2 linked regions of the Macaca fascicularis genome follow. The protein of the gene in region 2 binds, or shares a complex with, the protein of the main gene of each other region. Links are inferred from orthologs where the notes say so. Each region holds a gene or a part of one and is shown on either strand. Other genes may lie near its edges.

What was found.
Region 1: the proteins of MCHR2 (region 2) and PMCH are in contact, whole or in part, in a cryo-EM structure (PDB 8WST), measured with the Homo sapiens proteins. The link is inferred for Macaca fascicularis from reciprocal best matches to the Homo sapiens genes MCHR2 and PMCH. Residues at the interface, in NP_001035269.1 of Homo sapiens: His82, Gln92, Trp93, Gly96, Gly97, Thr110, Asp113, Gln117, Ile175, Phe177, Val181, Ser183, Cys184, Ala185, Phe186, Leu188, Thr189, Ser190, Pro191, Val194, Tyr197, Thr198, Tyr267, Gln271, Asn274, Met277, Glu278, Gln279, Pro280, Phe284; in NP_002665.2 of Homo sapiens: Leu151, Arg152, Cys153, Met154, Leu155, Gly156, Arg157, Val158, Tyr159, Arg160, Pro161, Cys162, Trp163.

What each region holds. Positions count from the first base shown.
Region 1 is NC_088385.1:109,183,951-109,194,815, forward strand, and holds PMCH (pro-MCH), read right to left. Parts: upstream 5,484-10,865; 5' UTR 5,435-5,483; coding exon 5,186-5,434; intron 5,185-5,185; exon of another isoform or gene 4,840-5,184; coding exon 4,633-4,839; downstream 1-4,632. Other genes in the region: PARPBP (PCNA-interacting partner), read left to right, coding at 2,976-3,111, 3,621-3,961. UniProt on the Homo sapiens protein: MCH may act as a neurotransmitter or neuromodulator in a broad array of neuronal functions directed toward the regulation of goal-directed behavior, such as food intake, and general arousal. May also have a role in spermatocyte differentiation.
Region 2 is NC_088378.1:75,386,169-75,397,854, reverse strand, and holds part of MCHR2 (melanin-concentrating hormone receptor 2), read right to left. Parts: intron 8,834-11,686; coding exon 8,624-8,833; intron 4,375-8,623; coding exon 4,180-4,374; intron 1-4,179. UniProt on the Homo sapiens protein: Receptor for melanin-concentrating hormone, coupled to G proteins that activate phosphoinositide hydrolysis.

The sequences.
Region 1 (10,865 bases), on a different chromosome or scaffold from region 2:
AGTGAGAGGTATAATGGTTTCCCCAAAGTTATCTAGTTAATAAGTAATAGGGCCAGTATTAGAAGCCAGGTCTTCTGACTGCAAATCTGATGCTTTTCCCGTCACATCATCTTACCTTTTTGTGCTGCTTTCTTAGTTGGACATCACACTGTTGGCTCTGTCAAGTTTGTATCTATTTAAATCTCTAGGTCTTTTACATATGTTGTTTTTAAGTCAGGTTCTCCTCATCCTGTACATCTGTAATTGATATTTTTGAACTTAAATACTGGACTTTGTTTATCCCCATCCATTTTCATCTTATTATTTTCTACTTATGGTTCTAGCCTTCTGAAATCTTTTCAATCTTGACTCTATTATCCAATTTATTTGTTATTCCTTCCAGCTGTTTGTCAATAGCAAATTTTATAAGTAGAATGTCTTTGAAGTTGTAGAAGCCATCCTAGTAATCTCTAGTATACGCTGTGCTTATCACATAGTTGGAACTTAATAAGTGGTAATTGATTTTAAAAAAAGTGATTTTTGTACAGGACAGGGAAAAGAAAATCTGCATATAATCATTTATGTAAAGAAAAAACCCTCAATATACAAAGGGGGGAATTCTGTTGTGTTTATTTCTCATATTTTAATACATTTATAAATAATATTTTTCATGGTAGAAAAAGTCATTAATTATTTTTCTTTTACATCTGAATTTGTTTTCAGTACTTCAGGAATCCATTGCCTGTGATGGTAGTTTTCTGAAATTTTACTGTGGTCACTGAGGATTCTAGAATTTGTCTATGGAGGAGCCTGAATTGAGGAAATCTAGTTGTAAGGAGAGCTATCACACTTATTTTGTGACTATTTGCCCAGCAAGCAAAGATTTTTTTACCTAGACTATATGTTAAAAATTAATAAAAGTAATGAAACATTCTAAAGAAATTTTTATTCCTGCTAAACATGAGATTGAAGAAACATTAGTTTTCTGTACTAAATAATATAATTATTATTTAGTATTATATTTTTATTTAGCATGTTTTATGGGTGGTGCTCATGAAGGTTTTGCAGTGAGAAGCTAACATCTCCCAAGCTAACTCTAGGTGCCATCACTACTGGGGTACAAAGAGTGATCCAAGCCAGCCACTCAGCATCTATTTGCCTGCGTGGTCTTACTATACTCTTTATAACTCTTTATAAGCAATAAGTTTATAATTCTCTATAAGCCATAACTTCTGTGAAGTGAAAATAATGTGTGAAAAGATAATATCAACAGTTAGTACTGGTGTTGCAGGTGGAAATAAAAGTTCATGGATAATGCTACAATTATGTAGTATAACATAGAGTCAATTTTATAAATAAAACTTATTTAAATAGGTTTATCAAGTGCTTTAAATCTGTAGTTATAGGATTAATAAAGTCCAGAAAGAGCTACTTAAAGTCTTCAGTTATATATAGGGCATCTTGTGGTAGAAGCTATATAATAAGTGTTGCATTCATAGGGATTCATGAAGGTAGTGGGTTGTAGTCCCATTTGTTTTTGAGAGTCCATTCTGTTCAACTTTTTAAAAAATAGTTTTTGATCTTGTGTATTTTCACGTTTATTTTCAGTTTTGTACATTTTTATGCTTAAATGGAAGATAAAATTCCAATTGTCTAATGCTTCATGTAAGCACATGAAACATAATTTTTAGTGATCTGGGAGATGGAGACTGTCACAAACCTCATTAGTCAGAAACAAAATGTGTCATCCTAATAAAACTTGCTTTTATGAAGCAGCTGGACAAGCGATTATTCTGACTTTTTCTAAGCCGTAGTCAGTAGATTTCACTGCTGTTATCTTTACAAACATCTGAGTGAATTAATGCATCGATCTCTGAGTATATAACATAATATACAACTACTCAATGTATAATGTAAAGTCATGCTGTTTTAGATTTCATGACTGTATCAACAAATACTCTGTAAGTGGTAATCAGGGTAATGTAGTTACATTCAAAGTTTTAAATTTTTGAATTATTGAAGTCATCATTATTGAATTATGTATTTGAAACTTTGTCTATTTCATAAAACGATTTCAGGTGACTTCTATTTGGAGACATCTCTCCATTAAACCTGAATGGTATTACACACCATCTGTAATTGTTGAAATCGGCATTATTTATATAGGCTACTTTGTTCTAAAATTAATTTCTATACCCCAATAGCTCACTGGTTTATGTTTGTGGAATACATTTCCAAAACTACTTTTTTTGGCATCTTTTTCAATGGTCAAGAATTAAGTTTATCTTTGTAATTTTCTTCTATTTGTGTAGAAAGTTAGGCCCTCCTATTTGATATTTGAAGATAAATGCAAGAGTATATTTTGAATTTCTGACCATTAAGTCACTTGGTCAAATCTTTCTAGAATGATATATTGAATCCTCTTTCTTGTTTTCCTAAATGCTCGAGAAATAATGTCTTTCCTATATCATTTTGTTTTATCTTGTAGTTTATTTCTTTGCTAGTTTCCTGTTGTTGATTGGCCTCATCTAATTCTTTTCTTCGTCTTAGCATTTCTTCCCTCCCTAATTTCCTGAATTTTATGCTATTTTTTCCAAGAGTTGTGTTCTTCTTAGGATGAAGAACTTGTATTTTTCTATGATTATGTATATCACCTGTATTGTTATTTTACTTACAATAAGATGCTCCAAAGCAGCACTGACATAGGAATGTGTAACAAAGCCCTATAGAGTCTAAAATTGATTGTTTTGTAACTGTTACCAAAAAATAAAACATAAAAAAATACATAAAGCTAGTATTTTGGAAAAGAACAAAAATGCTAGCCATAGCGATGAATGAGTTTGCAAACTATGAGATATAAAAGGTTAGAGGTTCTCAATGAGTAATAGAATTTCTAAGGGAAGTTGTTATACTTTGATTACTATAGAGTGTGTGTCCATCTAGATGAAGAAATAAAATAATGAATAAATGGCATATTTTCTTCTTTCTGTTACCAGATGAAGCAAACTTTAATTAGATCCCAATTTGCTTGTACTTATAAAGATGACTACATGATAAGCAAGGATAATTGGAATAATGTTAATTTAGCATCAAAGCCTTTGTGTGTGCTTCACATGGAAAATGACCTTTCTGGTAATTGACCTTATTTATGCAATTAAATAGCAATTTAATTCTAGTCTACTAATTAGTTTTAACTTAAGTAAAATTAGATTATTTTTGCAAAGTACTGTGAAATGTGAAAGGTTATATTTGTAAAGACCTCAGTTTATTTAAAAAGTTAAATCTAAGTACAAATTTATGGATAGGAATAGGACATAGTTTGATTTAACTAAATGTGTTTAAGAAGTAATTTGTAGCATATGTTTAAGGATTAAATGTCATGCATTCAAACAAATATTTGTTAGTAGGGCTGACAAGTTGATTACTGGCCAAAGTTAACTCAGAGGTGCTATGGTAAAATTAAAAGTAATGGGATAGTAATGTAGCTGTATTTGTTAATCATATTATTTATAACATTATTTTACTTTAAAAATAAACATTTGAATATTCTTTAGCCATTTTTAGAGTTTATTGTAAAGTTCTCGTGAATATTAGTACTAAATATTATATAATTCCTTTCCACTTTTTATCTTGCATAACAGAGGGTGTAAATTCATCTGTTGGAAGGTCAACAATTGGAAAGAGTTTTGGAAATGTTCATCTGGACAGAAGTAAAAATGAAAAAGTATCAAGAAAATCAACTAGTCAGACAGGAAATAAAAGCTCAAAAAGGAAACAGGTGGATTTGGATGGTGAAAATATTCTCTGTGATAATGGAAATGAACCACCTCAACATAAAAATGTTAAAATACCTAAGAAATCAAATGATTCACAGAATAAATTGTACAGCAAACTAGCTAAAGTAGCAAAAAGTAATAAATGTACTGCCAAGGACAAGTTGATTCCTGGCCAGGCAAAGTTAACTCAGTTTTTTAGACTATAAATTTGTGTCTTATATGCTTTAGGTTTATGTATCTATAAACCATTCACCAAAGACATGCTTAATTTTTAAGAGATCAAGGTGTAAATTATGATGATTTATTATTTTGGTCTACAGTGTATGTAAGGTTAGTATGTTAAGCATTGTTTAAAAATACTAGTAAGTCATAATTATGCAGAATTTTCACAAAGTTTAATGCACAGTAAAAGCATATAATTTCAGTTACTGATACATCTTAACACTACTTTCTTTTAAAACAAACATTTAACATGCACAAGTTATAGTAGCATTAGGGGCTTCTCCTCCCATTGACAATTAAATGCTTTTATTTTCTTCTGAAAAGATGATGTGGACCAACAGGTATCAGACTTGCCAACAAGGTCGGTAGACTCTTCCCAGCATACATCTGAGCACTGAAGGAAGAAGAAAGTTTAAATTGTTTAAAGGACTATGATTATCACACAAAATTTATTAAGAAAAAAGAATGGATCTAGCATAACTAATTCTGAGTAAACCAAAATGATAATAATTAATTATTGCTATTCAATCCCACATTTTTGGCAGGTGTAATTGAGCCATGGTCTTATTTGATTTTGTTATGATTGCATCCAAATTCGCTTTAACTCAGAGTTCTGTTTAATGGTGGTAGGACGTAGAATTGAATTTTGAAAAGACTACTCACTGTCAAAATCTCTCCTTCCTATAGGAAATTTAGCTGAGTTTTCTTCATCCCCAATTTCTCTCTTTTCTTGTGTTGATTCAGTATTCTGAACTCCATTTTCAGCTGGAAAAGCTACAGATCCTTTTAGTGCAAGATAAGGTTTTATAGCCAGATTCAGTGGCAGACCATGATTTAAGAAATTATGTTTGGAGCCTGTGTTCTGTAAAGAGAAAGTTGATTTGTTTTTTAGCTATCGTATTCAGAGTGGAACTGTAATAAACTGCATAATATTCTTGTCGATCAATTCAAAGATGCTCTGCACTGTTTTTGACTCTTTAAAAATACCTTAGATGCAAATTTATAGGAGAAAAAAAAACCTTTCAGATAAGAGGGTTTTCCAGGATGGAAGAACTACCTGGCATGCAAGAAATATCGTCAGTTGTCCTAATGCATATTGTGACTGCATATACTTCTATTTATAAAAGTATTAGTTTTACTTTTCAGAGGATTTGTAAGAATCATTTAAATTTTCATTGAAATAAATGACAAGTCACATTGCCACTTACCTTTGAAATTTTGTTTTCCTCTTCGTTCATGAAACTGCTCTCATCGTTTTTATATTGTTCCAGGGAAGGAGCAATAACTGATTCTTCTGCAGTGTCTTCCTTCTGAAAGGCTTTCCCCAACCTGAATGTATTAAATACCATGTCATCGTCTAAATTTCTTATGGGCTTGGATGCTGAAAGTAAAATACCTTGAGAAAACAAAGAAAAAGTTAGTATTAATATGTAGGAAGAGAGATTCATTTTTGCCATTCTTAGTTTGATGTTCGCATACAGTCAAACAAGAAAGAAAATGAAAAATAGCCTGGTTGGCAAACGATTCTGTATCTTTATATATTTTCCAGCTTGAATAAAAAGTACTTCAAAGAATTATACTTTTCATCATTTTGGAAATGACTCAACAGATTGAGGCTAACCTTTATGCAGCTGCTAATACCTATTGTTTTGGTTTTAGTGGTACGTTGTTTATTTTGAGTGTGAATTTTCTCAGCATCTGATTAAGATCCTTGGTAGAATGCTTTCTGTTGAGTAGATTATAGTCTCTTGAAAATGGGTTGTTATTAAGGAAGACCACAGGACATCAGGCTCTCTCTATATTATTGTTTCCTTCCATGTATTTTCTGATTAAGTAAAGATATTAAAACTCAAGTTATTTCACTCAAGGATGATAAGGATAAAGTTTTATTTCCTTTTAATCCTGATTAAACTGAAATAATCCTCAAAAGGGATTTTCTTTTATAAATACTTGATATAGTCTTTGGTGATTAAGGTACATATGCCTGTCAGTGTGAACAAAAAGCCATTCATGCTATATCAAAAATTGACCTGTCAGGTGTATTTTATCTCTGCATTTACAAAAGGATAATAGGTACAAATATTTGTTAATGAATTTAGCAATTAATGAATAAGTACATGAAAATAATATTTATGTGCCCATAAACATTACTTTTGGATGATGAGTGTATATTGTATGACTTAATTAAACATTTCAGAGCTAATTTCTAATTTTGACCCCAATGAGTAAGATAATACATTCTTTTATATGTCTTCTGGTACATATATGTAAGAATTTTTCTAGAGTATATTTCTCAGTATGGAATTGCTGGGTCATGGAGTATGTATATGTTCAGCTTTACTAATGCCAAAATGTTTTCCCACATACTGGTAAGCGATTTGTGCCTCCGATAAACAGGGTATGAGCATTTCCATTGTTCTATGTCCTAGCTGACTCTTAGGCATCTCATTGTCCTTTTAATTTGTATTTTCCTAATTACCAAAGAGGTCAAGTGTCTTCCTATATGTTTATGAGCCATTTATGTTTCCTCTTATGTTAAATGCTTTTTTTTTTTTTTTTTTGCTTTGTCCATTCTTCTATTGGGTTGCCTTTTTCTAATATATTTATGGGAGTTCTTTATATATTCTGGATATTAATTGTTAGTTATATATGTTGCAATTATTTTCTCAGTTTGTGACATATTTTCAACCCCTTTATGGTGTCTTTTGGTGAACCAAACTGATTAATTTTAATGTTAAATTTTTTTCTTTTTTCTTTATGGCAACTACTTTTAATGTGCTGTTTTTAAGAAATCCTTCTCAATCCTTAGATTATTAATGTGTTTTCATATGTTTTCTTCTAAAAGTTTAAATATTTTGACTTTCATGTTTAGGTTTGTAATTCATCTGTAATTTTGTGTATGATATAAGATAGAGATGTAATTTTACTTTTCCCAATGTCCTTATATATTTCTCGAAGAATTCGTCCTGTCCCCACTAATCTGCAGTGCCATCTCTGCAGTATATCAGATTTCTATATATGTGTGGGCTTCTTTCAGAATGTTCTATTCCACAGCTAAATCTACAGTATTAATATAACTTTAAAATAATTTTTAATACTTGATAGGTCAAATTTCCCAGCCCTCTACTCACCCACATGTGTTTCTTTTTCAGTAGTTCCTTAGCTATTCTTAGTCATTTATTTTCCATATAAATCTTAAAATCAGCTTTTCAAGTTCTGTAAGAACACTTGACAGGATATTAAGGTTCAAGTTAGGTATCCCTTATCTGAAACACTTAGGACCAGAAGTATTTTTGGATTTGGGATTTTTTTTCAGAATTTGGAACATTTGCATTATATCAGTTAAGCATCCCAAAATCTGAAATCTGAAATGCTTCAGTAAATATATATATTTTTTAGCATACTGTTAATGCTCAAGAAGTTTCAGATTTTGGAGCATTTTTGGATTTGGGGTTTTCAGATTTGGGATGCTCAACCTATAATCACATTGGTTTTAAAGATTAATTTTGGAGAAGGATTGATATCCTGAAGGTAATTTATTATCTATGAGCATGGCATTTTTCTATATTTGCTTAGATCTTCTTTAATTTTTTTTTCTTCTTTAATCTTTTAATGACATTTTCTTTTCTTCATAAAGGTCTTGCATACCTTTGTTGAGAGAATTATAATTCTTTATCATTTTAATTGAATTTCTTATTTTTGGTTATTATAAATTGTATTTTTTAAAAATGATATTTGCAACATTATTGCTGGTATGTGCATGTGCGTTTGGCTTTTGCATAGTAATTTGATAACAGAAAAAACTTTCCAAACTCTTTTTTTTTTTTAATAGTTTATAAATGTATAGATTCTTTGGGATTTTGTATGAAGACAATTGATATAAATGATATAATAATGGCATTTTATCTCTTTCTCCTCAGTTCATCTATATTGTGTATACATGTCTGTGTGTCTGTTCGTGTGTTCATACACACTGGCTAAAGCCTCCAGTAACTACTGAAAATGGAGATAAGTGATATCCTTGCAGTGTTACTGATTTTACAGATAATGATTTTAATGCTTCACCATGGAGCATAATGTTTGATGTAGGTTTCTTGTAGATACTTGTTATAAAGTACAGGATGTTCTTTTCTATTTCTGGCTTACTAATAGTTTTTATCATGAATTGTTGAATATTATTGAATGCTTTTTTTTTTTTTGCATATATTGAGATGACCAGATCATTTTCTCCTTCAGGCTTTGGAAATATTAACAGATTTTTCTAACGTTAAACTAACCATGTGTTCATGAAAGAAACCTTTAAATTATTGGATTCGGCCGGGCGTAGTGGCTCACGCCTGTAATCCCAGCACTTCGGGAGGCCGAGGTGGGTGGATCACAAGGTCAGGAGATCAAGACCATCCTGGCTAACATGGTGAAACCTCATCTCTACTAAAAATGCAAAAAAAATTAGCCGGGCGTGGTGGCGGGCGCCTGCAGTCCCAGCTACTCGGGAGGCTGAGGCAGGAGAATGGCTTGAACCCGGGAGGCAGAGCTTGCAGTGAGCCGAGATCGTGCTACTGTGCTCCAACCTGGGCAACAGAGCGAGACTCCATCTCAAAAAAAAAAAAAAAAATGATTGGATTCAATTTGGCAATATTTGATTTAGTACATTTTACTAAATCAAATTTAAATCAAATTTACTTTTTATGAATAAGAAAGATTAATTTGTGATTTTCCTTTTTTATATTGACTTTGGTTTGATATTAAGGTTGTACTAATTTCATACATTTGAGGCAAGATTTATCCTTTCTTTTCTGTCTTGTTAGACTGCGGGTTTGGTGTTTTCTTGGTAGGATTTTTGTTAAGAATTGATTTACTTTCTTCAGTAGCTGTAGGAACATTTAGCTTCTCTGTTTCTTTTTTAGTTTGTTTTAGGAATTTACATTATTGTATAATTTTTCTATTTCACTTAAGTACATTTTATCTGAGGTAGACTTAACTGTTGATTTTCTCGGGGACTATTAAGATCTTTCTCAGTAAATGTTTTGTGAGTATAATTATAAACAAAGGACTCTGACATCCCTTGACTTTTTTGATCTTAGAGCTTCCTTATCTTTTTAATGTTGTTAGTTGTGCCCTAATTTGTTTCCCTTGGTTTGAACCTGGTTTGGATGTGCCTGTTTAATCTATAAAAGTCCTTGTTAGGCTGCATGCGGTGGCTCACGCCTGTAATCCCAGCACTTTGGGAGGCCGAGGTGGGTGGATCACCTGAGGTCAGGAGTTTGTGACCAGCCTGGCCAACATGGTGAGACCCCATCTCTACTAAAAATATAAAAATTAGCCTGGTATGGTCGTGGGCACCTGTAATCCCAGCTACTTAAGAGGCTCAGGCAGGAGAATTGCTTGAACCTGGGAGATGGAGGTTGCAGTGAGCCAACATAGTGCCATTGCAGACATAGTGCCATCCCAGACAACGGAGCAAGACTGTCTTAAAAAAAAAAAAAAAAAGTCCTTGTTAATGGAAATCTTTTTTCTTAGATGCAGTTCTGGGAGGGTAATAAATATTAATAATTATGTATTTTGTTTTACATTTCCGCCGGATGAATTGGCTTGACTGATCTTCACTCAAAATTGGGACCAAATCCAAATGATTTTGATAGTTTAGAAAAGTTAATGCTTTATTTTGTTTAAACTGTCATAGCCTCTGAACATTGTGAGGTTTTGCCATAACCATTTAATTATGGAGATAGTTTCCAATTTTTTTAATGATAACTTAAAAAAAAAATTGGTTACTGTGATGTGCAGTGGAGCATAGCAGACTTCTTTTTCATTGATGCTGAAAATGGAATGTCCCCAAGTAGTAGAAGGGAACTTTGGAGAAGTAAAACTATTGCTAGATGGGTTTGGGTGGTTCAGTAAACCTTGCAAAGGCAAAAGGCTTATATCAAATATGATCTTCTTTTTCTGTAGAACTACTGCTGACACTATATATTTGTAAGTCACTTTATATTAAAGTTCTCTTTGCTCCAATTAACACATCTTTGCTATGTGTTGCCGATAAGTTAAATGGCAGTTGGCCATTGGCTTACTGAGAATCATCATTTCTTAGTGGCTAATTGTATGAGTGTAAAAGCCGAGATTGCTCACTTATATAAATTATCAAAAGATGTAAGAAAAGTTAAAATTCCTTCTCAGATTTCTATAGTAAACAACCCATACACTTTCACCTAGAGTTTACCATTAACATTTCACTTCTATCCCTTCCATCCCTTTATTAATCATCTTATTCTTTTAATTCATTTCAAAGTATATTGCATATATCAGTATGCTTTTCACTAAATACTTCAACATACATATCATTAACTGGAATTTAATAGTTGTTTACAGCTTTTTTTTGAAGTAAAATTTATGGAAAGTGAAATGCATAAACCATAAGTGCATATTTGCTAATTTTTGACAAATGTGTATGCTTTTGAAACCCGAAGTCCTTTCAAGATACAGGACATTACCCTCACCCCAGAAAGTTATGTCTTACCTTGTTAGAGTTTACATGTACCACCATTTTCCCCATTCCCACCCCTCATTCCAACTCTGCTCTTAGACAATCACTGTTCTGATTTTTTTCCGCTGTGAATTAGTTTTGCCTATTTTGGAAATATACAGTATGATGTCTTTTATGGAAGGCCTCTTTCACTCAACACGTTTGACATTCATCTTTAATGTTGTAAGAAGCAGTAGTTCCTTCCTTTTTTATTACTGTTGTATAAATATACTACAATTGACTTGTCTCTTTTCCTGTTGATGGACTCTTGAATTGTATCCAGTTTTTGGCTATTACAAATAACACTACCTACATTCTTGCAAAAGTCTTTTTGTGGACATGTGTTTTTATTTCTCTTGGGTAAA
Region 2 (11,686 bases):
ATTATTGCATTGCAGCCCCTCCCTCCCCTCAGATCTATTAGTGTTTGCTCTATATATTTGGGAGCCCCAATGTTGGGTGCAGAGATACTTAAAATTGTTATATCCTTTTGCTGAATTGACCCCTTTATCATTATATAGTGACCTTCTTTGTCTTCTTTTACAGTCATTGATTTGTAGTGTATTTTATCTAAATATAGCTACTCTTGATATTTTTGATCTCCAGTTGTATGGAATGCCTTTTCCCATCCCTTCACTCTCAGGCTATGTGTGTCTTTAGAGGTGAAGTGGGTTTCTTGCAGGCTGCATAGAGTTGAGTCTTGTTTCTTTATCAAGCCACTCACTGCATTTTAATTGGAAAATTGAGACTATTTACATTCAGTATTATTATTGATAAGTAAAGACTTACTACTGCCATCTTGTTGCTTGTTTTCTGGTTCTGCAACTTTTCTCTTCCTTTCTTCTTTTCTTACCATCGTCCTTTGTGGAAAAGTGATTTTCTTCGATGGAATGTCTTAGTTCATTACTTTTTATTTTTAAAATCTGTTATGGATTTTTGCAATGTGGTTACAATGATGTTGACAAAAAACATATATCTTACAAGTTATTCCAAAGAGATGATTATTTATTTTACATCACAAAGAAAATAATAGAAACAAAGAAACAAGTGGAAAGAACTACACTTTAACTCCATTCCCCTACATTTTAACTTTTAGTTGTCTCAATTTACATATTTTCATATTATCTGTCTCTTAACAGGTTGCTACAGCTGTTATCATTTTTGATAGATTTGTCTTTGGGCTTCATGCTATAATTATGAGTGGATTATGTACCAAAATTACAGTATTAGAGCATTCTGGGCTTGTTAATGTATTTAATTTTATCCAGGGGTTTCATACCTTCAAATGTTTTTTTTGCACATTAGTGTTTTTTTTTCCTTCCAACAGAAGAACTCCCTTTAGCATTTCTTATAAGACAGATCTGACAGTGGTAAATTCCTTCAGCTTCTGCCTGTCTGGGAAACACTTTATGTCTTCTTCACAGTCAAAGGATAGATGCAATATCTTGGATGGCAGGTTTTTTTGTTTTTGTTTTAGTTTTTTTTCTTTAGCAGTTTGAAAATGTCATTTTACTCCCTCTTGGCCTATATGGTTTTTAGTAAGAAGTCCATATCCAGATGAATTAGAGCTCCTTTACACGTTATTTGCTTCTTTTCTTTTACTGATTTTAGAGTTCTATCTTTGTCTTTGACTTTTGAAAGTTTATTATCTGCCTTGGGGTAGAGTCTTATTTGGGTTGATTTTGTTTGATGTTCTCTGATCTTCTCATATCTGGATATTTACATCTTTCTCAATTTTTGGGAAATTTTCTGTTATTATTTCTTTGAATAAGCTTTCTACTTCTTGCTCTTGCTCAACTCCCTCTTGAACACTGATAAGTCTTAGATTTTGTCTTTTGAAGTAATTTTTTCTATATCTTGTATACAGTCTTCATTTCTTTTCATTCCTTTTTTTTTCTGATTGTGTATTTTCAAATAACCTGTCTTTGAGCTCACTAATTCTTTCCTTTGTTTGACCCATTCTGCTGTTGAGAATTTTTAGTAACTTTTTCAGTTCAGCAAACGTATTTCTCAATTCCAAGATTTCTTTTTTAATTTTTAAATTATTTTCATCTCCTTGTTAAATTTCTCTGATATATTTCTGAATTGCTTTTCTGTGTTATCTTGGAGATCACTGAGTTTCCTAAAAACTACTATTTTGAATTATCGGCCAGAGAGCTCACATATTGCTGTCTCATTAGGGTCAGTTACTGGTTCCCTGCTTTGTCTATTTGGAGAGATCATGGTTTGCTGTTTGCTGTTGCTTCTTGTGGATGTACAACTATGTCTTTGCATTGAGGATTTGCTATTTATTCCAGTCTTCTCTGTCTGACTTGTTTTGGTTTTTATTGCATATATTTTCTTAGAGAGTCTTTATCGCTAGGTTGTTGTCTCCTTTTGGCTCTAGGTTGCACCTTAAGCCCAGATTTGCTTTCGCTCTAGTAACCCATCAGTCACTGGCTGTCCTGAATGGGGGAGGTCCCAAAGGAGATATCCCAGATGTGTGGGAAGCCTGGCTAGGGGTTTGTCCAGGGGACCTGCTGAATGTACCTCCTGCAGTGTAGTGGTATTGAATAGCCACTCTGATTTAGTGTCTCCTTTGGCTGAGCTACAGAGTAACTGTCCCACCTCCCTACTTTGTCTCTGCCTGTTCTCAGGGATATTTCTCCCTTCCAGCACTTGTGATACTTCCCATAGGTTAAGGCACAGACAGATATTTTGTCAGGGAACCCAAGGTGGTGGGAAAGCTGGTTGTCTACCTTGATCGTGTTTTCTTCAGTGTAGAAACTGTGAGTTGGGGGGAAATTTTTCATGTGTTTGGTGTCAAGCAGAATGGGGGAGAAGGGTGTCATGGATGTGGAAATCTGATTCTATTACAGTCAGCTTGGAGGCTTTTTCATATCTTTTTTCACTACTCTGAAGCCTGAGGAACCGTCTCATCCTCATATTTGAGTTCTGGAGTTCTGGGATATTGCTAATGCTAACCTTGGTGCTGTATATTTGTTTTTGATTTTCTGAGGGCTCAGGGGGGCATTCAGTCAGCTTGCTTCTATGCTGCCATTTTGGAACTGGAAGTCCAGTCCTATCTATGTTGCACTATTATGTTCTAAATGTTTGTGTTCCCTCAAAATTGCTATGTTGAAAACCTAACCCCCGATATAATGGTATGAGGAAGTGGGGTCCTTGGGAAGTAATTAAGTCATGAGAGTGGAGCCTTCATGAATGGGAATAGTGTCCTTATAAGAAGAGACACAAGAGAGCTTGCTTCCTGTCTCTCTCTTTTGCCACATAAGGATAGAATGAAAAGTTGGCAGACTGCAACCTGGAAGAGGGCTGTCATCAGAACTTGATCATGCTGGCACTTTCATCTTGGATTTCCAGCTTCTAGAACTGTGAAAAATAAATTTCTATTGTTTACAAGCCACCTAGTCTATAGTACTTTTTTATACTAAACTGAACAAAACATGCATGTATATGAATTTTATTTTTTACTGGATTAGTGGATTTGCAGGTCCTTTACTGCCATCCTTCTTTGGCTGCGTCCACATAATGCAGAAATGACTCATCTGTTTGACAAGTTATAGAGTCGGAGAAAGGGATCTGCCGGACTGACTTGAGATAGCATATGTAAAAATATCTAACACAGTTATTGGCCATTGGTAGTTGCTCAAAGAATTTAATCATGAACTCCAATTCTATGTTCAAATTTCACATTGAAGACTTTTAATTTCCTTTTAAATTAAAATGCATAAAATGGCTATGGTAGTTGCATTAGTTTCCTAGGACTGCTGTAAGAAATTAGCACAAACTGGATAGCTTAAAACAATAGAAATTTATTCGCTCACAGCTCTGAAATCTAGGCATCTGAAATCAAGGTGCTGGCAAGTTTGGTTCTTTAGAAACTCTGAAGGAGAATCTGCTCTATGCCCCCTCCTACCCTCTCTGCTGGTTTCTGGCAATCCTTGGTGTTCCTTAGCTTACAGATACATCACTCCAATCTCTGCCTCTGTCTTCACATGTCTCTTTTCTGTGTGTCTCTGTATTTCTTAAAATCTGCTTCTCCTTATCAGGACAATAGTCATTGGGCCCACCTTAATCCAGCAAGACCTTAACTTAGCTTGATTACATCTGAAAAAACCCTATTTCCAAATAAGGTCACATTCACAGGTATGGCAGGGGGGAGCTGGTGTAGGACTTGAACATATCTTTATAGGGGACACAATTTCAGCAAACTGCAATTGCATACTGATGAGCTTTGAGTTTGAGTGACTCTGGAAATTCCTTACCTCCCTTGATTGCTGCATTCCCACTGCATCTGGCTGCTATGAATCTTTAAAATCCTATTTAAATATATTTGTGTCCACTGAGGTTACATGATTGAATTCAAAATCTTTTCTAAAGGTTATCCTCTCCTTAAAAATCAAACTATCACCTTGATTGCATGTGTGGAGGGACCTAAGTGGAGATACTGGTGAGAAGAGGATCCACAAGGATACTCTTTGAGGCTGCTCACATGTTGACAAGGAGAATGAAGTAATTCACAACTTAATTCAACTCATTTTTCTTAAGTTTTAACAACTTACCAGAGTACATCGTCAGGGGATGTCAAATCAAAAGCACAACTCTCGACACCGTCTTTAAATTTGATGACCTTCGAGTAGATCCAGACAGGCAATGCCAGGATAAAGGAAGCTGCCCAAAGGCCCAAATTGATCCGGATGGTCTTGTACCTTGTTCTCCAACTTGTCAGTCGAAATGGTTGGACGAGGGCAAAGTACCTGCAAAAGCAGTCAGGAAGAGTTTTGGAACAATCAATAAAAACACTGAGCTCCAAGGATGAAAGGTTCATGACGAGCGTAAATTATTAGCATTATTGTCCTCTCTGAAGCACACCTCTATCAGGGTGAAAGAAAGTTATATTTTTTAAGAGCTGCCTGGTATCTGTAGAGAAAACAATTCTTGGCCCTGCAAGTCTGAATAAACCACTCACTGAAATAGTTGTTCCTTCTATGAACACACTGATAATGGCAAAATTCTGCAGTGCACTCTTTACAAAGGCGCTTGTCCTGTAAATGAGACTCTGGAAAACTTTGTCTCTGAATACGGATTTCCTCCAGGAGGAAATGACCCTTTTCCCAGCAAGATTTACTGACACAGAGGCAGGAAGGAGGAAAATGTGGGGCTAAGAGAATCTCTCAGCAGAAAGGGATTCAGGAACATAGAACAAACATTTTGCCCCGATGGCTTTATACTAAAGTCACCACGCTCATGGAGTTTCAGCTCACAGAAGTCACAGTGAGGATGAACAAGTGTGACTAGTATAGACAATGCAAATTCCTTAAGGAACTTAGGCTAGGAGCCAGAGGGAAGAAATGGGCTAATTTCATGGGGAAGCATTTTTCTTTATTTTTTTTTCTTTTCATTTTACAGCCAGGAAAAAAGTGGTAATCATTAATCAAACTTGAAATTCTGACATATCTAATATATTTAGTCCTCCAGCAAATCCAAAGAATTTTTCAGAGCAAAATGAAAACTGAAGAATGAGAAACAAGAGCTCAGATTCAGAAGGAAGGCCTATTTGAAAAAGCACAGCTTTGCTGGGGGCTGGGGGGTGGTGGAGGATAGTATCAGCAGAAATTAAACAAATGTAAAAATGGTTTTTATGGTCACTTAAATTTCTCCAAGTTTTTGTAAAGCTACTTAATGAAGACTCACAAAAATAAAAAAATTTCCTCTTCTTTTGCCCTTTCAATTTTGCACCAGAAGCAGGACATTTGTATTCAGTTAAGGGGCCTTTGGTTGCAGAGAGTGGTCTGGCCAGGGTTCCTCGGCTACCCATCCTCTGCACACTGCACATGCATTCCCTGTGGCTAAGGAGAGAAGGGCCTCTTTTCTCCCTGCTGGGGAAGTGGATACCGTAGTGACTGCATAGCAGCCCAGCCGTCAGTTTTACTGGAATTATAGGATGATGAAGTCATGGGATCAAGCAATTAAGGAATCTTCTCTGATAGCATCCCTCCCCAACTGAAAATCTTTCAATGGTTTTCTATAAATTCTCAGAATTCCTCCCATGTTCCACAGGTCTTTTTTTCCCACCTGGTTCTGCCTGCTGCTCAAGCTGGAGCCTGTGCCAGTCTCTCCCTTGACTTCCTCAAGCTCTTCCCCTTTCAAGGTCAGGTATATGCTGTGCTACCTGCCTGGCGGGATCTGCTTCTGCTTCTTCCTGCTCTTCCTTCAAGACCCTATTTAACCGTCTCCCTCTTAGGGAAGACTTGTTTGACCACCCATTCTATACAAGGGACCACGACTGTAAAAGAATATTATAGGGAGACTCTATTTTTCCTTCCTAGTGTGTTATCACTATGTGGAAATAAACATTTACTTGTGGGACTCTTCACTTAATGTCTGTCTATGTCACTAGAATGAAAGCCCCACGAGGGCAGGAGCCTTGACTATTAGTTTAAGGCCACTGTATCCCCTGTGTCCAACAATCTCTGGCATATGGTTCATGCTCAATAAATATTTTTTGAATAAATGAATGAATAAATTGCAAATTTTGGCTCCTACTTACTGACTCCTGATGTTTTAGAGAATTTATTTATAAAAGTAGCCACTAATGAAAGTCTAGGTAGCTTTCATTTGAAAGCAAACATTTTTGACATTTTGGGTGTTTATATATTGTTTTTGTATGGCTATGGAGGTAGGAGCCGACTACTAGATATTCTACACACTTGCAGTTATCACTAATTAGGGAAAGCAAAATGAGTTATTGGAAACACTTGAAATGTATGATCCATTAAATTGGCAATTAAAATGATTTAAATATGTAAACACTAAGGCATACTGATGGCACCGACATTTAGTTATGATCTTACAAAGCAAGCCTCATTTCTCTCTTACAAAATTGCAGATTTTGTTAAACTTTAATGATTTTAGTAGAGTTAGAATTACAAGAACTGTGAGGAAGGTAATGGTTCAGTTTTATAGCCTCTTCATTTGTTTCTTACCACCTGATTTTCCAGAGCGAGGGGAAGGAAAGGGCAGATGTCTTAAATGTGAAATGAAATTTTAGCATACTATGTCAATTGGATTAAAACCAAACAAAACAAAAGACTACGAGTAAGATACACACGCATGCATGTGTGTACATGTATACATACAGAGAAAAATCTGTCAATATTAAAAAATATACACAGTTTGTCTGTTCCAAGGCAGAAAATGCCCATTCACTTCATTTACAGTAAAAGATTTACAGGAGTATACCCCTCTTTTTTTTTTTCTCAAAAAAAAGGCAATATTCTCCTGCATCCAAGGCACAGTGTATAAAGAAGCTCGTATTATCCCCAAGAATGGGATTACTAGTGGTATGGTCTATACCTTAGGTTGCTTTTCCATAGTGAGCCTGGCCTGTTCAAGGCCCTCTTCCTGGTATTGGAACCCTGACATGTTTATGGGGCTTTTCTCATGACACAGTCACAGTGGCTGGCATCAGCTGAGCTAACTAGACCTATGCAGTATATTGATTTAAAAATATGCGAATTATAAGTTGAGAAGGAAACTTTATATTTTGAAAATTCTCTTGCAAAAAAATAAAAGTATATTTAAAATTTTACCATTATTATTCATTTTTGTCAGAGTGGATGATTTATATGAACCTTGTCATTCTTTTTTTGTCCATCTAAAGAATGGTTCATCACTTCCCCACCCAAGAGTCCCATTTGGAAGGGTGAAAGAGGGAGGGTTCAGGAAGATTTCTGGATGGACCCGGGGAAATTTAACATACCCTTCAAGACATTCATTCATTCATTCATCAATATTTTTTTAGCACCTGAGTGCCAGGCAGCGTTACACACACATTTATGATATATTTATGGACAAAGACCTGCCTTTGGGGAATTTACATTTGAGGTGCAAGGGAACTAGACAATAAATCACACACACACACACACGCACACACACACACACGTGATTTATGTAATATATTTGAATCAAAGGAAAAAGACAGTAGATCAGAGAAAGGAGGATTAAATGTGTTGGGCTGGGGTTGGGTTGGGAAGAAGGCAGATGGAGATTTTAAGTGGGTTTTTCTGAAAGACAGAGTAACACTGTTGGAAGTACTATGGTTGTCTTTAGGCCCTGTTTCTGTTTGAGGTGAGCTGTTAGGACCTGGGGTGGACATTCTGGCATCCGGATAATGCAGGGCACATCCTAGCTTGCATGCTTCCTAGACAGGCCAGAGATTGAAGCAGTTACAACTACCTGCCATCTCTAGAGTCAGATGATTTGGGTCTGAACTGGATTCTACCACTTATCGGCTCAATAAGTACTCACTATCACCATCATCTCCTCAAATAACATTAGCTTACATGGATGGTGAAAGGGGCTATGGCACATTCCAGGACATAGTGGTATACATTTCTAATAATATAAAATGACAGCATTTGTATTAACCAATCACAATAATGTTTGTGAAAGATGATCTTCTTGGCACTGGGAAATTGCTTCATGGTCATATAAGAACCTCTATTTACTCCACTGATTCCTTAGAGCTATGAGGCAATAACAAGTGTATGAGACAGTGGACATATCAGAAATAGCCTTGGACAGAGACTAAGGAAACCTACTTTAATTCTTGGCTCTGCTGCTAATTCTCTATGTGCTTCTAGCAGATCTCCTCACCTCTTTGGGCCTCAGCTTCCTTACTGTGAAATTCATGGGGGGAATTCATTCTGGTTTCTAATATTTCACGGTTTTGTGATTTTTTTTCATGCAGTGAATTGCAAATAAAACTGAGTTGAAAAGAATGATTAGAAAAAAGGAGATTTTTGTGTTTTATGTTTTCCATTAAAAATAGACCTCTGTGAAAGTTGAACAAAATATTCTTAAGTAATCAATCCTACAATGAAACAAGCAAAGGAAGAAAAGCTTTGCTGTAATAAACCAAAACTGATGTTGGAATTGGAATGAGCTTGGGGAAGCGCAGGCACCTCTGAATTATATTAAGATATTTCAAAGTCCTTCACTTACCTGTCCACACTCATTACAGTCATGATGGCACTACAGGCAAATTGGTTACAAGTATCCAGGGATGTGATGATGGTGCAGAGAGGCCCCCCAAATACCCACTCTCCCCCTCGGGCCCACTGGTGAATAAGAAAAGGCATTCCAATGATGTGGACCAAATCAGCCACAGCCAGGTTGCAGATATAGATGTCAGGGACTGTTTTTTTTCTGGACCTGAAAGAGATAGAGGAAACTGAGGTTTGACATTGAATGTATACAGACTATTCAATATATGCTACCTGATACAATTTTTAATTGCCATAATGCATTTTAAAATGTTAAAGGAAACCTACACAAATGCATAGAGGAAATGCCTAGTCTTGTGTATATTTAAGCATTTTGAACTATTTATTTGATAACTTACTGTGGTGGTTTAAAAATATGTCCACAAAATCTTTGATATTCCTTTCAATAGGTGTAGCCTAATTCCCTCTCTCTCTTTTTTTTTCAATTCCCTCTCTTTGAGTGTTGACCTTATTAACTTGCTTCTAACAATGAGAATATGGCAGAAGTCACAGTGTATGCCTTTGAAATTGGGTCACAAAGTTATTGTAGGGTTTTCTCTTTGCTCTCTATTGGATTGCTCTCCCTGGTGGAAGCCTGTTGCCATCTTGTGAGGATACTCAAGCAACACTATGGAGAGGTCCACGTTGAGAGGAGCTGAAGCTCCAGTCAACAACCAGTCAGTACCAGCTTTCGAGGTATGGGAATGAGCTACCTTGGAAGTAGATCCTCCAGCTGCAGCCAAGCCTTCAGATGACTGTAACCCTGGAAGACAGCTTGATGGCAACTTTATGACAGTTCATGAGCCAGAACCAACCAGCTAAGCTGCTGCTGAATCCATGACCACTGGACACACATGAGACAGTAAACGTTTATTGTTTCAATCCGGTATGTTTGGGGTAATTTTTTAATGCAGCAACAAGTTATACCAACTTTAAATACACTCAGACAAAAGATTTAGTCTTTACTCATTCCTAGTATTTAAAACAGCTGAAGACTGAAAATAAATGATTTCTGTTGTCTAATGCTTTTTTTTTTCCTGTTGTAACTTAGGCCATTGTTAAGATTTCAACAATGACTTAGAAATATTCCAGAAAAATCTAACAAATAGCAAAGACTATTAATAAAGACCCTGAGATCCAGACAGAGAGAGTCATCTGAAAAGAGGGAGCTGGTAGATGGCACTGAGAATGATGTCATGTCTCCTGTGGGGAGCTGGGGGTGGGAGAAGTGAATTCAGTGCTATCTAGAAGTGGCCTTCTCATCAGCAGGTGAAATACATTTCTGAGAGCAGAAATTTAAAATTCAGCTGGTTCCTCTTTCAAGGAGCTGGCACATTCAATAATAAACAGGTATCATCTTTATCTGGGAGATGCTGTTTATTAATTCAACAAACATTTTGTTGAGCACCAATTACATGGCAGGCATAATACTGTGCTCTAAGGCTGTAAAGCTAAACCATGTATAAACCCTGTCATCAAGGAGCTTATAGTCTAGACTTGCATAAATAAATGATCACATTACAATTTGATGAGAGAAAACTAGAGACAAGTACAAGGTCAAGAAGCACAAAGAAGGGGCCCTCTCCTTTTTCTTGGGCACAGTCAAGACAGGTTTCTTGGCAGATGTGGACAAATAAGAATTTAAAGAGCATATAAGAACCAGTCCTAAGATTATGCCACAATTGCTAGTTTTCTCCTATTTCTTTTTTTTTAATTTATTTTTTATTATTATTATACTTTAAGTTGTAGGGTACATGTGCATATCGTGCAGGTGTGTTACATATGTATACTTGTGTCATGTTGCTGTGCTGCACCCATCAACTCGTCATTTACATCAGGTATAACTCCCAATGCAATCCCTCCCCCCTCCCCCCTCCCCCCTCCCCATGATAGGCCCCGGTGTGTGATGTTCCCCTTCCCGAGTCCAAGTGATCTCATTGTTCAGTTCCCACCTATGAGTGAGAACATGTGGTGTTTGGTTTTCTGTTCTTGTGATAGTTTGCTAAGAATGATGGTTTCCAGCTGCATCCATGTCCCTACAAAGGACACAAACTCATCCTTTTTTATGGCTGCATAGTATTCCATGGTGTATATGCTCCTATTTCAGGGCTAATGCTCTGCTGTTTGGAAGCTCGTGTGTGTCTTTATTATTCATTGGCTACAACTTCTATAACCTGTGAGCTTCATTTCTCAGCTGTCAGATTCTCATGTGAAACATCAGATTGGGTGAGGCCGTCTCTTCTCCAGGCCTTGGCAGCACCCACTATGTGGGGCAGTTACTGCCATGGAGTCCTCATTCAGCAACCATACTGTATGCATTGTTGCTGCCACTAAAAAAACAGGTTGGTTCCTTGCTCTCAGGAACTTAGTGCCTCACACTAGAATGACCAAGAGGGAGAGATGACATGAAGAAAAGATCATGTCAAACAAAAGACCAGCCAGCTGACTGTCCTTGGTCTCTCATCCCCTGTCCTCTCCAGGCCATTAGAGTGGGAAATGGAGAGGGGACAGAAAAGAGGGACAGATATTAGCAGTCAGATAGAAAGAGCTCCAAACTAAAAAAAAAAAAAAACAGACCAAAAAAAATCGTAAATCTTGGTCTATAAATAGACATTATTTGCATGTGAATTGGGATATAAACCATAAGCAGTTGCTTAGGTCTCAATTGCAGCAATTAGATCCATGGCCCTTGTTTTTCTCTAGAGGGGTACCCATCATTTACTGATAATGAATTATGGTAATTATATTGTGGAGACAGTGCAGGCCATTAACTGCCAATTAAAAAGAATTAAATAAAAGTGTGTCTCGATATTCTGTACAGTACAAAGAGAATTCTGAAGCAATTGATAAATTTATCTGGACATAAGTTACTAGGGCAATATAAATAACACATTATATTTATTATTGTCTTCTTTACTGAAAGCAACAGCATCGAAATTAAAAACAAATAGAAATTGTAAAATTTCTAACTATATAAATTATATCCCATTTTAGGTCTAATTTATCTTCAGATTTCCTGATG